Linked DNA regions of Arabidopsis thaliana. The protein of the gene in region 1 interacts with the protein of each later gene in a pairwise test. Each region holds a gene or a part of one and is shown on either strand. Other genes may lie near its edges. The genes, in order: AT5G22355, GSTU2, AT2G03500 and AT4G14900.

Region 1 (4,409 bases):
AGATTTACCAAAAAAAATTATAAATAAAACTGACAATATAGGTAGTTATGACACCCCAAGAACCTTCCACTGTTTACCCTAAATTTGCAGAACTTGAGATATTGGCAAATTTACATATTTACCAATTCATTGTTTCCATAAAAATTCAAATAGTTCCTCCTTCTCTGAACATTCATACACTCTAAAGAAGTACTAAACAATATGAAATTTCCACTCCTACTTAGACTGAGACCTAACAAGCTAAAAACCTAGAACACACGACGAAACAACAAAGTAAAAGAAACTCCTATCCAAAAGCAATCATCAATCTCTCAACTACATCATGCGCCTAGCAAAAACTGACGAGAATTTCGAGTATAGTATCAATGGTTTATAGTCGACGAAATGAAAGCACTAAGCAGATGCTAAAAACGTCTAGAGCCTAGATCAAAGAAACTCACGTAGAGAAGGTGATTATCAGATAAGCCGAGCGCACGAACGAGACCGATACACTGATTCTCGGAGCCAGGGAAACCGTTTCCGATGACGACGGCGCGTCTGACGACGTTATGGGAACCGCCTTGTTCGAAAATATCAGGGACGCCGGTAGATAGACTGGGTGGATCCGGCAATAGGATTGGCCTCATGCCGGTTAGATTATCGATTCCGATTCCGATCAAAAACCCTAGAGGAACCACACCGAGATTTGGGGGGATTGATCTCAACTCCGTAGAGAGAAGGTCGTGGTGCTTTGACAAGTTGCGAAAGGTCACAGAAAGAGAGATTGTTTTCCTTTTCTCCTTCAAGAGATTGTCTTTACGCTAAAATTTGGTATAACAATTAACAAAGGACAAATTTAAGGTCTTAAACGAATTTTTTGCTAATCAATAAAACTAATTTTGTCAATACAAAACATACAATTGTTTAAAAAAAAAGAAATTGTATGGTATTTTAAAAATTTTGATTTTAGAATTTGAAGTTTTGGAATTTTGTTTTGTTATATGATGATTAAAATTAAAATTTCACCGATAGTCATCCAAAATTAGAATAAAACACTATTTGTCACATAATTGCTGTTTTTCTAATTGTCTATTCAAATCTTATGAACCTCTTCGTAGGCCCAATATGTAGAATTTGATTGTTAAAAGGTGAAGCCTTATCTGGAAAAAGCCCAACTGTTATTGTTCTTCCTGTGCCTCGTTTTGTCTCGGTCTAACTTTTTTACACACGACTTTACCAATCATAGTATTCAAAGAAATCTAGCGATCTCAAGACTCCGAGTGTCACGATAGAGAATATGAAATTGCAGAAATGATTCAATATAATTATATATCTTAGCTGTTGTTAACACGTTAGATGTTGAGTTTAGGAAATTAATTTATTGGGTATTTTCATACTATTATATTCATAGGTAGCTATAACGATGATAAGATAATTTAATGTGTGCAGGTTGTAAACAGTTAGGAATATGAAATAATTCAACTATATATTATAATCATCTCGTGGAAAACAGGATCGATTGCACATGATTCATTGGAGACAAGAATCGTTAAGGTGTTCACACATTACGTGTCTTTGTTATATTGGGGTTACAAAGATGCATTCATATGATGTAGTATTATCTTGAGATCTCCAGAAAACAAACCGCATTTGAATCACAAAATGGATCTACCACCCAAAATACTACCAACTCACAAATATCCTTTGACCATTTCGACTCGTTTTGTTAATGATTCTTGTAAAGGTTGCAATATAAAAGGTCCCATCTATGGCGGCTACCGTTGCAACGAGCCTTCCTCTACTAGTTTGTTCTTCCACAAAGAGTGCGCAGAGGCTCCACCGGAGATTATCAACCATCCTTCTCATCCTCAACACACTCTTAAACTCCACAATTCTCTAAGGAACCCATGTAAATGTAATCTATGTGGCAAGACTTTTTTCGCTTTTGGTTATCGTTGTTCATCAAAATGTGACTTCATCGTGGATCTCACTTGTGGGATAAATCCATTGCCGGTTTCTATCGAACATCCAAAGTCTCATCATCATCCAGTTATCTTCTTGAAAGAACCCGCAAAGCCGGGTAGGCGCAGATGCGGAATTTGCAAGGGCTATAATGGTGGATGTTCTTATGCATGTCTTGAATGTGAAGTCCACTTTCATGTCGAGTGTGTCAATCTTTCCCAAGAGGTGAATCATCCTTCTCATCCTCAACATTCTCTCAAGTTACTTGAATATGAATCACTAACAAGTGATGCTGAAGAGACATGTCTTTTATGTGGAGAACGACCAGACAAAGTGCTTTATCGCTGCTCGATATGCAACTTCAGCGTATGTCGATTCTGTACAAAAGATCCACCACCACTTGCTATCGAGCATCATAAGACGCACGAGCATCGACTTGTCCTCTTATCAAGACTCATCTCATTTGAATGTAATGCTTGTGGGATGCAAGGTGATCGAAGTCCTTACATGTGTGTTCAATGCGGGTTTGTTGTCCATAGAACTTGTATTGACTTACCACGTGTCATAAACATCAACCGTCACGATCATCGCATCTCTTTCACCCATCATCTCGGTGTTGGGTACTCGAGATGCGGTATTTGTCGCAAAGATATAAGTCAATACCATGGGGCTTATTTATGCCCTCGTTGCCCGAACTATGCAGCTCATTCACTATGTGCAACAAGAAAAGACGTATGGGATGGGGTAGAACTCGAAGGGACACCAGATGATGATGACGAAGATATTGTGCCGTTCAAAGTGGTGGGTGATAACTTGATCAAGCATTTCAGTCATGAAGAACATAATCTAAGACTCAACAAGGACAATATCAATCGTGACGAAGGCTCACGTTGTGAAGCATGCGTCCTTCCTATCTATTCCGATCCGATCTACAACTGTGAGGAATGTCGTTTCATTCTCCATGAGAAATGCGCTAATCATCCAAAAAAGAAACGACATGTATTCCACACAAAACCATTCACACTATGGTCCAGACCACCTCGTACATTCCATAGCAAAGATTTTAGATTCTACGATGTCTTTCGCTGCTATGCTTGTAGAACGAAGTCTACTGGTTTCAGGTACGTTTCTGATTGGTGGGTTCTAGATGTACGTTGTGGTTCGCGTTCTGAACCGGTCATTCATGATGGTCACAGACATCCTCTATATTACGAACATAAGAAAGATCACTGTTGTGATGCATGTTATAAAGAGATAGATGGTTATCTGCTTTCCTGTGACACTTGTGACTTTGATCTGGATTTACACTGTACTGATTTACCAAAAACGGTAAAGCACAGCTGCGACAATCATCCTCTTTCCCTATGCTATGGCGAAAATGCAACCGGAAAATATTGGTGTGATATTTGCGAGGCGGAAACAGATCCAAGTAAGTGGTTCTACACTTGCTCTAAATGTGTGGTTACTGCACATATTGAATGTGTGCTTGGAGACTTTTCACGTCTCATGCCAGGACGCATCATCAACTACAATAATGTTAGAGTTGAAGTGGTTCTTAACAGCTATAGTTCTCGCCCCTTCTGTGCAAAATGTCACTCCAGATGCAGAGCTCCTATCATTCTAAAGCTTTGTGATCCATATACTGGATACATTTGTTCCGATGCATGTGTAGTGCCCGACTATCAATACAGCTAAGACAACTATGTAGCTGTTTATTTCACTCTATTGTTTCTCGTAATTTTTTGGATGTAAGAGTTTATTTCCAACTACAAGTGCTAAGCATTCTGGTTATATTCATACTGTGTTCATCAGTACAGGCAGGATTAAACTGTATCGATGACATATATAAAGTCGTAACAAGTTATGACAAACTTGCTAAAAAGGTAGTAGCAACTAATATGATTTAGTTAATGAAAACATAGACAGAAATGATGGAAACAGATATTTGTGAATCAGAAATGTTATTAAACAAAGATGAAAACTGAAGTAATTTTAACAACAAAAATAACGAATATGTGATGTACATTGCAAATGCAAAAATTATAAAGACACAGCGGATAAAGTTTTGGAAATACAGAGAACAAACTCACTCACGTGACTAAATCTAAAAGACAAGGCAAGAGTTCAATGAACCTCTGTATCATTTTGATTTTGACATTTACAAGAGTTACATAAGCAAGGAGGACCATGACATGTAACTTCAAACTCACAGTCATTTTCATGACAAAACCAAGGCTTCAAATCGAAATGATGCGACTGAGTTGATTTACAAAAACAGTGGTCCGTTTCAGTATACCTTAGATAAGGCCGCCAGATTTTAAGATCTGCATGATGGTAAAGTGATTCCTCCGCAGAAAGATGCGATTATTATGTACAGCAAGAAAACTATCAAGCATGTCAACAAGACCCTGCCGAACACAAACAAGAAAAGCAGTTTTGTTGATTAATAAAAGTGATCTGGAACTCAA
Region 2 (3,378 bases), on another chromosome or scaffold:
AGTTGTGAGGAACACTTAATTACAAGTTCAATGTATGTACATCATTCATGTGTATCATCCAAGAACATCTAGAAGGTAGTTGTTCATCATTGCCGTCACTTTCAAATGTGTTCATCATTTATCCTCACGCCTAAACATTTCAGCATGTGTTCAAAATATTAAGAATCCTCAAAAGTCAATATTTATGTCTAACTTTGACCATCTCTCTTTTTTTTTTTTTTGATAAATATTCTTTGAACATGTCTTTCATCTTTCACTTCCGATGTATTAGTTTTGGAGAGATATGTTAAATATTTGTTATTTCATTTCTTGAAGAAATTGAGTTACCAATGCTAATACAAAATTGGATAGACTAATAGAACCAGAATATCACTAAACTGAAATACTAACCAACAATACACAATAAACCAATACTAACCAACCATACGTTAATGTTCTTAACTTCTTATCAAACATCATGTAATCAATACCACACATCATGAAACAAATTAACTCATCATCCTATCGAACTTAGATTTACCATCTTTGCAATTTATTTTCCCTAAACCATAAATCAATATTTGTTATTATAGTTATAATAGGTAGCTTTCAACATTTCACTTTGCACCCATTAATTGATTTCCACTACCAATGCAGCTACATTCATTCTTTGTTTCAAATTTTTCAATAACAAAACGATACAAGCTGCACATAGTCATTATTTTAGAACACAGAGTTATGAAGTTATCATTAATTTAGAACGTAGACTTAGCTCTCTCTATAATTTTCTTCATACGCTCAATATGTTTCTCTTTTGGAGGTATACATTCCCTCACGATCTCAACTTCATTCAAGTTCTTGATCCATCTGTTTAATTCTGGAAACGTATCCTCTGGAGTCATATCAATCCCCAAACATTCCCAAGCCCGAGCAAGACAAAACGGGATCATACTTCCCGCAACCATGTCCAAGAATCCGATCGTCTTGCCACCAAAGAAATCTTTTCCAGTGACTTCCTTCTCAAGAAACATAAGCATTTCTCGAATCTCCTCAATAGCAACATCTATTCCCTTCTCTGCTTTTACTAGGGGCATGAAGCCAACTGGTAGGATCTGCAAGTTATTATACCAATCTATAAAAAAAAGTACTTAGAAAATTACTTTATCCTACAAATAATCCTGATATAAATGCTTGAAATGTAATGAACTTCTAATAACTCTCAAGTGTTTCTCATTTATTTTGCAATCAATATTATAAATCAATTTAATTAGTTAGACTAGAGTACCTGCTCATCAACGAACTTGGCCCAGAACCGAACCATGGCCTTCTCGTAGGGATCGTGAGGTAGAATTGGATTGTTATTCCAAGTTTGGTCGATGTATTCGAGGATCACATGTGACTCGGATAATAATTTATCATTGTGAACAAGAACCGGAACCTTCTTGTGAACCGGATTTAGTTCAAGAAGTAAAGTGCTCTTTTTGGGTAAGTCTTCTTCCAAGTACTCGTATGGTACGCCTTTAAGTTTGAGAGCCATCTCGACTCTACGACTAAAAGGGCTTATCCAAAACCCTAGAAGCTTCACACTCTCTTCTTTCTTCGCCATTAGATCTCTCTCTCTGACTCTCTCTGTCACTTTAAAAACAATATTGTGCTTTTTTTTGTAGTCTCAACTCTCAAGCTTATCTTGAAGATAAAAAAAAAAAAAAAGACATCAGTAAGGTAACCAAGTCACTGCTGAGGTCACTTTGGTTATTTTATTCTTATTTCCTTCTAGTCTTGGCTTTTACAATCTCCAGACACACCACGTTATTTGATTGCTGTAACTTTCAAATAGGTTTTTGATCTTTTTACTTAAATATTAGGTCATTCTATTTTTCGAAAAACTTTAAAAAATAAAAATATAAATAAAAAACGATGCAAGCATATAAATCAAATATTTTCGTAGGCAAGAAGTATCTTTAATTTAGGCAGACTTAATTGTCTCTGCAATTTTGGTCATGCGCTCAATTTGTTTCTCTCTTGGAGGAATACATCCCCTCACTGCCTCAACTTCTTCCAAATTCTTGATCCATCTATTTAATTCCGGAAACTTCTCCTCTGGAATCATATCAATTCCAATACCTTTCCAAAGTCTAGCTAGACAAAATGGGATCATACTTCCTGCGATCATGTCCAAGAATCCGATTGTCTTGCCACCGAAGAAATCTTTTCCAGTGACTTCTTTCTCAAGAAACATAAGCAGTTCCCGAGTCTCTTCAATAGCAACCTCTCTTCCTTTCTCTGCTTTTACAAGGGACCTAAACCCTAGTGTTAGGATCTGCAAGTAAAGAACAATATATAAACAAGCGAATAATATAATATTGTTCTGCATAGAATCAACTAATTAATCTGCAAATCAATATTAGTATACCTGGTCATCGATGAACTTGGCCCAAAATCGAGCCATGGCCTTCTCGTAAGGATCTTGAGGAAGAATTGGACTGTTCTTCCACGTCTGATCGATGTATTCGAGAATCAGATGTGACTCGAGTAATATTTTGTCATTGTGGACAAGAACCGGAACTTTCTTGTGAAGCGGGTTTAGCTCCAGAAGCAAAGGGGTCTTGTTGGGCAAATCTTCTTCCAAGTATTCGTATGGCACGCCTTTGAGTTTGAGAGCCATCTCGACTCGACGACTAAAAGGGCTTGCCCAAAACCCTAGAAGCTTCACACTCTCTTCTTTCTCCGCCATTCGATATCTCTCACTTTTTGGTATCTAACTCCTCTGTTTCTTGCACTACTTTTCTTTTTTATGTTTCGTTTACTTGCTTGATTACTTGAGTTTACTATATTCTATACACAAATGAAGTTATGGGTGGTGAAATAAACAAATAAATAAAAGGACCATTTTGCTTTCTCTTTGTCTTTGTATCCAAGGATATCTTGAAGATCACACCAGAAAAGGACTGATTTATATTTTAAGGTATGCACGTCATTGCCAACGTCATTCGTCTTAGTGTTTTAAGATATTTGACCAACACTTAGTGTTTCTAATCTCCAGTCAATTAGCCGACCAAGAAATAACAAATCTCCAAATGATTACGTTCTACAATTTATATTTTAAGATTCATATGTTGAAAAGTTTAAAACTGAGAGATTAATGTATCGACTGTATTTGTAAAACACACAACTTTTTTTGTTTTGAAGAGTCTATTTTTTGGCCAATTCATTGTCTGCCAAACATTTGAAATGAATGACATTGTAAAACAGAAGAAATATTCAGTTATCAAACAAAATGTTAATCATTTTGAAAGAAATGATGTAATAATCTAAATCAAAATATAACATTTATATAATGTGAACCTTTTCAGTTTTTGGGTTTGATTCCGTCTTGATTCACGGTATCGGTTGATTTGG
Region 3 (5,314 bases), on another chromosome or scaffold:
TAAATACTGTCTCATAACAAAAATGATTCTAACACCTTCCAAATTTTTGACATTCTTTTTTCCTAATTTTTTTCCATCAAATGGTTTTTTCTTAGGTTGCAAATATTAGAGTATATAATATGATTATGAAAAACTAAATGCAGAAGTGGTGCGTCGACTAGTTTATGTAATGAAAATAAAGAATATCGCTGACTTTTAGAGCAAAATTCCAAGGACCACCACTCCATATCTAGCACATGAAGATGCATCATACCGGCCAATCAAATATTCAGATTTGTTGTGGCGTTTAATGCAATATTTGTGGACAAATAGTAGATAGTTAAAACCGAAGAAGACTATACATTGCCAATTACTAGAAAATTTGCCGCAATACCAAAGAGATTCCAACAATCTAATTTTAATGATGGTCTTAATTTTAAACGGCAAGTCATTTTGACTTGTGTTATGATCGAACCTAAATATATATACAATGGAAACAACGATTAAATCATTAATTTACATATAGCATTTAGCTGCTCAAATGTTTAACATCACTACAATTTTCATATATATCATTGATAACACAAACAAAGGCCATATGAATTAATCAATTTACACATAGTTAACGCCTACACAAGTTCATATGATCAATCCACATTATCCATTCATATAATCAACCAACTAAAGTAAACACAGACACGATAGTCCCTTTGAGATTACCAGTTTGAATACATGTTTTTATCTAACGATAAGAGTAACATGATCAAAATGAATTTTCTAAGTGATGATATGATATTCATAATGTTCGATAAAAACATTCGCTGCCTCCTGTGATTCATTTTCTACTGAGAAAATATATAGAGAGATACAAGCAATGAAATAAGTTACGTAGGCACCCACAAACCCTAACCCTAAAATCTCATTACTCTAATTAATTAATCAAGAATCTTTATTTTTTTTAGAATTTGAGAGTTATTTCACTTCCATTAATATTGCTGTGATCTTCACATTCTTCCCTAAGAGCAGCCAACCCTTTTCTCTCTCCACCACCACTCTCCGGTGACTTCCCTTCAACTGTGGGACTGTCCGTCACCTGATGATGAGTAGAATCGGTAGAGGCGGTGCCACCGGATGAACCGTTAAACGTTTGAAAGTGGTGGTGGTGGAGCGGCTGAGGAGGCGGTGGAGTTGTGTAGAATTCTTGAGAGGAGCAAAAGTGTGGTGGAGGCGGCCCTGCCGTGTTGGTATGGTGGTGGTGGACTTGGTGGTGGTAGAGAGTCGGAGTGCCACCATGTGCGGAGGTGTACTCCGGTGGAACCCATATGCCACCTAGGACCACCAAATGTGGACCTGGCCCACCTGACGTTTGTGGGCTTGGGCTTGGTCTTCTAGTGTGAAGCCGATACTTCTGTTTGTTTAAAATCAACACACCAGTAAAGTACTTAAATATGAGTTAAAAAAAGTTGTAAAGCATATTGTGGTGACTTGTGATTTAAGTTACCTGGAGATGGCTTTTGACTTCATCATTGGTCAAACCATCAACTTTCATGAGTTCCCTTATTTGTTTAGGTGTAGCCACTGCAATGATATAACCAACATATAAATACGGATACAAGTTCGATTCAAAAATTAAACACTTTTTATTAGGTTAACAAGGTTATTTTAATCTATATTTAATAAACTAAATCCATATCTAAACCGGAAAAAAATAGAATTAGAATTAGAATTTATTTGGAAACTAACTACATATATTTGAATAATTGTTAAGTACTTAAGTTGATCTCTCATTTTTTTTTGTTGATTCAAGTTGATCTATCGTATATTCAATTTCACTTTATGTACTGTTTTTTATCAACCGAAAAAACTATAGAAAACGCCAACTAAAACTTTATAATATGCCTTTTGAAAAAAATAAAAATAGCAAAATGGAAATCATGGCAATTTGCCATACCATATTCATTATTACCTAAATATCGAATAAACCACAAATGATAATACTAGCCATGTATAAAATATGCAGTATACGATAATGATGTATGTATTTGGTGACTCAAATATCATGTCTACTAAAAAAATCGTTTTAATTAGTTGACAATTTTTTTAGATTAACCATGGTAAAGCTACTTCAAATTAATACTTAGTTGATTAGAATAAGTGTATCTGTACCTTGCGAGCCACCAAGCATTTGAAGAGCTTGGACAAATCTCCGGTGCAAGTCCGGCGACCAGCAACGTCGTGCCTTTCTATTACTTTGACTCGTTGTAGAAGAAACTCCATTGCTGTTCGAATTGTTATTATTATTATTATTATAGTTATTATCATTGTTGATCATGCTCTCATCATTACCGTCTTGGCCATTAGTATGTTCGTTGGTCGGAGAGACCCTCTTGACCTCCGTGGATAGAGCTAATTCAGGCAAAGATTGTTCCTTAGAGAAGGGAAGAAAAGCACCGCTGCCATTTCTTTGTTTTGCATCAAAATGTCCGAGTTTCGGACTACTATTAATCTCGTCTTTGGGAAGAGATTGATCAGTAGTTGAATCAATGTTTTTTGGTTTGGTTTCGGATTGGCTCCATAGCTGAGCAGTCGTCATCCAATTACTTCCTTTGTTGTTTGTCTTTTCGGGTTGGTTCCTTAAGGGTATGAACTCTTCGAGAACTGGTCTTGTACCAACACTTTGGTTATTGTTATTACTATTTGCTCTATATGCTTCTAGTTGTTGTTTGTAAACTTCCACAGCTGGAAAAAAAAATCAAACTAATTAAAGATGGTAAAGTAATTTAAAATATGAAAGTAACAGATATAACATGAACCTTATAACCTTTAAAATCACTTTAGTTAGTTTTGTTGATTTCAGTGTTGGGAGGAAACAAAAGTTTTGTGATTCAAAGAAATCAAAAGCAAGCTCTGATTTTTATGAAATAAATTCTTAAATTAATGAATAAAGATCTTTTCAAAAAAAAAAAAGTGAAAAGAAATTCAAAAAACTAATGGTTCACTAGGTTTTTTTTGGTAATAAAGGGATTATTTGAAGATCATATTATACACAAGTATATATACGTAGATCTAAATATTGTAAATGGATATATGTACCATTGTTAAGGAGTTGCATGCAAAGGGGAAGCTCGCGTTTGAAGGCATCGATCTTGAGACGTTCTTGTTCTAGGCGAGAGAGAAGATCTTCAAGCTTATGTGTGGTTGGATCGCTCTGAAAGTTATCTCCAAAGGATTTCAAAAGCATAGAGTAGCTTTGTGGCTTGCAATCCAAGCTTAGTTCTGATGAGGACGCCATATTTATAGCTTATATACTCTCTCTCTCTCGCTGTATAGGAAGAATATTTATTGATTATATAAATATAATATAGATGATCAAGGAATCAAGAAGAATTTGTGGTGCCTTCAAGTTTCAGATGATATATGTATATGCTATATGGTTCTTCAGAAATATTTCAAAGATTTTCAGGGTTTTTGGAAATTAGGGTTTGGAGAGGAAGAGCGAATGAAGAAGAAGATAGAGGAAAAGGGGAATAAAATGTTAGGTTGTGGACACAAGGAGGATCACAAGGAGGTTCCTGTCCTTTTTAGAGGGCTCAATTCAAAGGAACGGAATAATGTGATCTGTCACCACACACACACACACACATATATCTATCGAGAGAGGGAGAGACTAAGGAGGTGTATTTTTTAGAGAGAGAGAGTGAGAGGCTTCTTACTGTTAGAAGTCGTTCCTCTTCTCTAATGAGTCAATATTTTTTTATTTTTTTTAATATTATGTAAAATTATTCGGAAAAAAACTGTTTTACATCAAGTGCTGCTTGTGTTTGAGCAAAATTTGAGAAAATATAACAAAGATAAATTATTTTTATTTTCTAATGAGTCAATATTACTAAAGGTGTATCATGTGTGACTCTCATTTCTCAAAAAGCTTATAATCAAGGCTTTTGATGCTACCATATATGGCTTCATGAATCTTAAACAAAATAGTTAATATATAAAAAACTATGGCTTGGTAAATATTAGTAAAATCATTAAATTAGTAACCATTTGATTTGTTTTTTTATCTTCTCTTATAATGCTTAGTTTTTAATCACTTCTTCAGAAAATTAATCTATGTATAATTCCATATGAAAGAAAGAGAAAAGAGAGGCTAAAGGAGAAAAGAGGAAGATATAAAGCAGCAGAGCAAAAGGGAATATATGGAAACTTGTTATAAAGAACAAATGGGTAAGAATACAAACTTTTAAATTATTTCTAATAAAGCGATATATTGTTTTTAATCTCAGATTCTGCTTTTGTTGGTTCACCACTTCACATAGCTTATACTTTCGTAAATTCAGTCTCATAATTCTTAAGATAAAATATGTTTCCTAATTCTCCTATAAATCTTAGCTCATGTTGACTGAAAAATAGATCTAAGCTAACATTTCAGGTATTTGGTTCTTAATTATCTTATATATTCGACAAAGTTAAAATAAAATTATGGAATCACCAACGCAATTATGTGAAAGGAATAAATTGTGAACGTTTTAGTACATTTTGGGAAATTTATAGTCGTTGCCAGAAAAACAAATATTCTTCTACCACCTTCTTAATTTATATAGTTAATTATTTTAAATTTTCAAAAGGAATTGAGATTCAATATAAATCAAAGAAGCACATATTAGGCCACAAGATTTTTATATTTATAGTTGCACGACGGCGAGAGAGAGAGACAGAGATAACGATTGATCAATATTTTTTTGTAAATTGAATTTCTTAAAAAAGTTGAATAATTATTCTAAATTTTAGTGGATGCAAAAAAGAGAAAGAAAGGGAATATCTGATTTAATTTATTACCATAAACTAGGACAGATATTCACTTAAGTAAATAATATTGACAGAAGTTTGAGAGTCGCAGAATCTTCCCACCGGACTTTAGTGAAGTGGCCAGGAAGGTAGAAGATTCTTCTTACTTAGAAATATTTTAAACTTTTTTAAAGAGTTTTTGCAATTCAAAGTCTTATCAAAATTTCTTTTCGTATCTAGGTTTCATTGAAAACCGATGAACTAATTGTGGACCTGATAAAATTAATTCTCTAAAATGCTTCTGTTTAATATTTGATGCACATATGTAATACAAATTAATTATTAGATATATGCATATTAAAACAAATTCGGGGCGGATATATCAATTTGATTTGATGATACAAGATTTTTTCTACCCAATCAAATTTATATTCAAGGCAAATAAGAGAGCATTTAGAAGTTGTAATTGTTTAGTTGCTCTATGCTTTCATATAATAACATTTCTAGAACATTAATCTCTAAAAACTAATGAAGCAAAAATAAGCTTTAC
Region 4 (5,859 bases), on another chromosome or scaffold:
GGCAGAGGAATAAGCAAGTGAATCAAAAAGTATGGGACGAGGAAGAAGATGATACCTGAATGAGAAAGTCAATAACCTTGACCCGAATCGTTTTGAAGAAAATGGAGAAAATCGGTTGTATGGAATAAAATCTTCGAATGATGAGATATATGATCTCTTTGGTGTCAGTCACATGGCACACGCTATCAATTTAGAAAAACGCGGTGGTTGGTCACCAGAATTACTACTTCTCGGTCTGATTTGGTCATATCCGTATTAAGTCCGGTTAATATTTTCCATAACTGGGGTTTGAACATTCGGTTTCTTTTTTTCAGTTAGTCCGATTTGGAGTTTTGAGTATGGAAAAATAATACTGAATTTATTTGTTCAAACTGTTTTGGAAAAAATATTTCCCTTAATTACGAATATAATTAAAATTTTAAAATTCATTTTATTAGATCTTGGTTAATTCGGTTTAATGCATTAATGAATTTCGGTTTAAGTCGGTTTTCGGTTTTTATGTCCCACCACTATCTACAACCGATGATCAACCTTATCTCCGTATTCACCACAAACAGTCATCACTCTCACTTGACACAAAAACTCTTTTGTCTCCGTCTCTCTGTCTCTCATGGCGACTCTTCCTCTCCCGACTCAAACTTCTACAATCTCTCTCCCTAAACCTTATCTCTCCAATTCCTTCTCCTTCCCACTCCGTAACGCAACACTCTCAACAACAACAAACCGCCGGAACTTTCTCACCACCGGAAGGATCATAGCTCGGGCATATAAAGTGGTGGTAGAGCACGACGGAAAGACGACTGAATTGGAAGTCGAACCAGACGAGACGATTCTATCTAAGGCTCTTGACTCTGGCCTTGACGTTCCCTACGACTGCAATCTCGGTGTTTGTATGACTTGTCCAGCGAAACTCGTGACCGGAACGGTGGATCAAAGTGGTGGGATGCTAAGTGATGATGTGGTTGAACGTGGCTACACGCTTCTATGTGCTTCGTATCCAACTTCTGATTGTCACATTAAGATGATCCCTGAGGAAGAACTCTTGTCTCTCCAGCTCGCCACTGCCAACGACTAATCATCTTCTTGATTTAGACTAAAGAAGTCTTTTTTTTGGTGTAATACGAACACTTTGTAACGAATCTTGCTATGAGACTTCGAAATCTTGATTTCAATGAGCCAATACAAACAGTGATACATAACATAATCACAGTGAAACATTCCTGGTTTAAGATGAATCTATTAAGTACTGAACTAAATTCGTTGATTGAAACATTAGGAAAGTGAATAGATATGTATAATTTAGATTAATAAACACACAAGGGTAGACTAATTCAGAACCAGAAAGAGTGAGAGTGTTAGCTACAAATGATACGATATAAAAAAAGAGAGATTACAACAAAAACGAGGTAGAGACAAAACGTAGACACCAGAGATCAGTGGTTGGTTACTTACCATCTTCTTTTTTCCTTTGTCATTGTCTAATCAGTAGTAAGCATGCTGAATATGGTGGTGGTGGTGCGGGTGAGGATGGTAAACTGGAGGGGGTGGAGCAGCCACCGGACTGCAGTAGGTACCATATGCTGTCGGATAACTGACCGGAGAGGTTTGGTAAGAACCATGAACCGCCTCGGGTGAGTATTGGTATGGAGGGCTCCTGTTGCTGTAGATGGTAGGTGGGGATGTGGTGTATGCTGGTACACCGTATTGAGGTGAGTGACTTTGGGATCTGATGAATGTTGGTGGAGGCGGTGGGAAAGAGGAGACGTAAGCGTTTGTGATACGCCCTGCTTTGGCTGGTGGCATTGGACCGCTGTAGCTTGCTCGGGTTCTCTTGTTGGCGGGAATCACGGCTGGTTTTCTCTTCTCGGTTTTGGTCTTCTCTAGCTGATCCAACCTCTTCTTGAGATTCTCGGGTGGGAATTCTTCCTCGAGTTTGTATTCTTCTATGCATTTTAAGACTGCTCTAAGTGCTGATTGCTCTTTGCGCGCCACAAGATGCTAGAAAAATACACACATACATTGGTAAGCGAGTGCAGAAGAAACAGATCCCTGCAAATGGATCCAGCAAAGAAAACGAGTAACACAAATGGAGGAAAGTACCGCAGATCGGCCAGAATTGTTGGAATCATCAGTGATTAAAGCTGTAGCTTTCTTTGCATCCCTCAGATAAGCTTTGAGCAAAGGAACAGGAGGGAACAAGTGTACAAGACCAACTTCAAAAGTGAAATGAACCGCATCAAGCTGTTGTCCCCTGATTATCAACTCTTCAATCATATCTGTGTGAAGCCATAACAACCCAAAAACCATCATTTTCCATTTCAGATACTACTCACAGATTCCCATGACAAAAGACAACAACTTGTGCTTCCCCAATATATAGCTAAAAACATCTAATGGTAATCAAAGGTAAAGAAGAAAGATTACCAGGCATTTGGTCGCCCAAACCAACTGAAACAGCAAGCTTTGGCATCTGTTTACGCCAAGCTGAACCAACCACAAGTTTCCTATAAAGAGCTAGATCATCCTTCTTCACAATCCCAAAAGTCACAAGATGTTGCAGAAACGTATGAACATCAGGTGTTTTCACATTCTCAATCCCTCCTCTCTCTTCCAAGCTAGCCTTCCACGTCTCAGCAATCTCTTTAGCTTTCTCCTTAACGCTAGGAGTTACAAGTAGCCGAGACTTCCCCATCACTGGATCAACCATAACTGGAATCAAACTCTCCAGAATCACAACACAAGCCCATCCAAAATCATTGCTCACTTTCTCTCCACCACCTCTTTTATCCACCGGAAAAACCTCAGATACAGCTTCAAGTACTAACTTCGGCGGATCCACACAATCTACCAACGCCACAGGAATCTGTGACCGGAGATTCTCCAATTCCTTCTTCCTCGCAATCACAAACCCCCAAAATCCTCTTGCGTCCATCTTCAAACAAAGCGACTTCAGCGCCGATAAAAGCCCGTCGCCGTCGTCGACTTCTCCGGTATCTTCATCACCACAGTCTCTAGCTTTCTCCAGCGAATCCAACGCCGCTCTAACGCGTTCCTCAACTTTCCCCTCCGCGATCTCGACGCTGTGGTCTATAGTCACCTCACGATGCTTGAGTAACTCAATCGAGCTCTGCGTTTGATTATCTAGGGTTTCAATCATCTGTCTCAGAGCTTCAGATTTCTTCATCAGGTTTTGCTCCATGGAAGTGAAATGCTCAGAGAGCTCTTTCCATAGAAGATTGCAGCTCGTCATTAGAGACGCCTGCTTCTGAAACTCAAAGAAACTCGGCTGAGACGACTTAATCAACTCTCCTGGATCGGGAGAAGACTCCATCTCCGGTTAATCGTACGGTGAAGAAACTCAAAACTTTAGTCGATTTTGCAGAGAAGAAGGTAACAAAAGTGAAGAAGAAGGACTGATTTGTTTGTTTTGCAGGAAAACCTAAAAATGGCAATAGTATAAGAGGAGGAGGATGACGTGGATTAGTCAGAAGAATGACACGTGTAATGGCGTCTGTAACTATGGCGCGATTATGACAGCCATCTAGAGTGCGCCTTGTGTGCCTGCGTACTTTTATGACGGCAGCAATAGCACCAAACTCCCGATTGGTTGTTGCTAACGTGAGCGGAGAACGCGTATTTTTAGAAAAGTTGTGGTAAACCGAAATTTGTATCGGTTTAAGTGAACCAGAAAAAGGAAAAGGTAGGAGAAAATCGGTGGGTGACCACCACATGCGTTGAGTCAGAAGACAGTGAAGCATTGCCGGCATAAATGTATGCAAAATTGTACTTTACGAAATTTTAATTTTGTAGTAAAACGTATATTTTGAAAAAAAGAAAAAAAAAAGAGAATGTTGTTGCCAAGAAAAAAAATGAAAGTACATTTGTGGAGAAGAACTTGTAGATGGTGTAATGAAATAGGCATGCGTTGGAGTGTTGGGCCCAATATTTGTGTTTGTAGACGTGATGATTAGGTAAGCACAAAACCTTTTTACACTAATTATTTGTGTTTTTACATATTACATAATTTAATCAAATATATGACCAAAAGATTCAGAACCAAATTCAGACTAATACTCGTGATTTTTTTTGTTCTCCTTTCTTCTCGTTGAAGCGCAAAGACATGCATGTTGATAATCTTACAGAAGTGTTAAAAAACTTTCTTTTAAAAAGAATAGGTGAAGATAATTCAATATTTTAATTTTATCTTTTATTTTTCATCATAAATTTTTTCTTTTTTGTGTTCATCGTATTTTGTAGAAGAGTCAAGTATTTTTGTCATCTCATCTAAAATTGCCAACCATAATTTAAATCAGAGTAGAAAGATTTAAACTTCGAGCACTCAATTGATAAGGTGAACATTTTAACCACGCACTAACCATCATTAACTATAAGAACATAAAGTAACGTACGTATTTTATTTTCGACGTAGGAATCTCATTTTCTATATATAGCTAGTTATCGTATACGTTAACATTTAACAAAACCCAAAAGAAGCACAAGATAATGTTCCATATCACAGTATTGGACCACAAGTCCACAACATTGAAGATATCCTATTATGGAAAATATATGTTTTTTTTTAGTCCTATTATGGGAAAATATATGTTTTTAACGACGGATATGTGAGGATACTGAATTATAGCCTTACTTACAAAGATTGTGACAAGATAAAACAAAGCGAATGAAACGAAATATTTCACTTTTTGGATAATAGAGTTGACAAATGACAACTACAACAATAATTGATTGTTTGGAGTTAACGTGATTAGTTTTCTCCCCGCATGTTGAAACAGGAATGGGCTAAGGGAACATGATATTTAAAAGGGATAAGAGAGATTAGGAGGGTTCAAATTCACAAGGGATCATAATGATCTAAAGTCGTGCAGAGTATGCAGTGATTTGACATGAATCTTGGCCTAACCTTATATAGCAACATGATTAAGACACTGCATAATCTAAAGCTTTTAATCATTATGTGTAAAATTAATATATCCATGTCCTAATTGTCAATGATGACGGTTATAATCTCATATATGATAAAAGCAAACATTCATAATTCATAACACTTCTTCTGTCTTTTATCTTGGACTACTAAATATGAAACAATAATTATACCATTTCAGGCCATGTATTTGAGAAGATATATATATAGCAAGAACGTTGTGAGACAATATATTATTTAGCAAAAGTGAAACTTCAGGCAAAAGTTACTTCGTATATATGATTATATTTTCATGTTAATCCATAAGACTAAATCTAGAGTCACCAACACAAATATATGAAACTTTGAGCGCAAAAAAAAACAATGACCTAATAAGGCATATATAGCCTATGACCAAGATAGCCACCAATTAACCAAATATTAAGGCAAACCATTCCCACGAGATACTCTTCCCTACCACTTTCGTTACTCTAGAAAACACCATAGAACTCTGAATAGCTCTTTGGCATGTGACTTAAAGATAACAAAAGGGGATATCATTGGCTGGCCACAAAATCAATCACCACTTTGCGAGAAGGGTAAAAGAAAAGGGAAAAAAAGCACAAAAGGCTAAAAACATATCACCAGAATCTATCAAAGTTCTGAGAGCATATATCAAGCATTATCATAAATATTTCAAGAATTCTTTTCAACGAGAATCATTCAGATCAAATGTAAGTTGTAAGTTATAATATGTGTTTTTTTTTACGAAGCTGACTACTAGACTAGTATCAGCTTCCGGGGGTTTATCAAATTGTCTCCATGTAAAATATGTCAGACTGGTTAAAGCATCAAGACTGTTTTAGGTTTCGATAAATTTGATAGAGGAATATGCTCTTATTGATTCTCATTCTCCAAAACATAAGTTTTTCAAACAG

The links.
Region 2: the proteins of AT5G22355 (region 1) and GSTU2 interact in a two-hybrid assay, tested with the Arabidopsis thaliana proteins (one large-scale study listed by BioGRID).
Region 3: the proteins of AT5G22355 (region 1) and AT2G03500 interact in a two-hybrid assay, tested with the Arabidopsis thaliana proteins (one large-scale study listed by BioGRID).
Region 4: the proteins of AT5G22355 (region 1) and AT4G14900 interact in a two-hybrid assay, tested with the Arabidopsis thaliana proteins (one large-scale study listed by BioGRID).

The regions. Positions count from the first base shown.
Region 1 is NC_003076.8:7,400,121-7,404,529, forward strand, and holds AT5G22355 (Cysteine/Histidine-rich C1 domain family protein), read left to right. Parts: upstream 1-1,586; 5' UTR 1,587-1,641; coding exon 1,642-3,636; 3' UTR 3,637-3,852; downstream 3,853-4,409. Other genes in the region: ELM1 (fission ELM1-like protein (DUF1022)), read right to left, coding at 441-626; VAMP714 (vesicle-associated membrane protein 714), read right to left, coding at 4,259-4,349.
Region 2 is NC_003071.7:12,629,648-12,633,025, forward strand, and holds GSTU2 (glutathione S-transferase tau 2), read right to left. Parts: upstream 1,675-3,378; 5' UTR 1,586-1,674; coding exon 1,265-1,585; coding exon of another isoform or gene 1,260-1,264; intron 1,092-1,259; coding exon 735-1,091; 3' UTR 551-734; downstream 1-550. Other genes in the region: AT2G29485 (uncharacterized protein), read left to right, coding at 943-1,084, 1,260-1,327; GSTU1 (glutathione S-transferase TAU 1), read right to left, coding at 1,946-2,299, 2,393-2,713. UniProt on the Arabidopsis thaliana protein: May be involved in the conjugation of reduced glutathione to a wide number of exogenous and endogenous hydrophobic electrophiles and have a detoxification role against certain herbicides.
Region 3 is NC_003071.7:1,057,883-1,063,196, reverse strand, and holds AT2G03500 (Homeodomain-like superfamily protein), read right to left. Parts: upstream 3,653-5,314; 5' UTR 3,272-3,652; coding exon 3,073-3,271; intron 2,719-3,072; coding exon 2,146-2,718; intron 1,558-2,145; coding exon 1,481-1,557; intron 1,388-1,480; coding exon 938-1,387; 3' UTR 518-937; downstream 1-517. UniProt on the Arabidopsis thaliana protein: Transcription factor acting as a flowering repressor, directly repressing FT expression in a dosage-dependent manner in the leaf vasculature.
Region 4 is NC_003075.7:8,520,277-8,526,135, forward strand, and holds AT4G14900 (FRIGIDA-like protein), read right to left. Parts: upstream 3,942-5,859; 5' UTR 3,332-3,941; coding exon 2,425-3,331; intron 2,277-2,424; coding exon 2,101-2,276; intron 1,999-2,100; coding exon 1,483-1,998; 3' UTR 1,076-1,482; coding exon of another isoform or gene 611-1,075; 3' UTR 506-610; downstream 1-505. Other genes in the region: FdC1 (2Fe-2S ferredoxin-like superfamily protein), read left to right, coding at 611-1,075.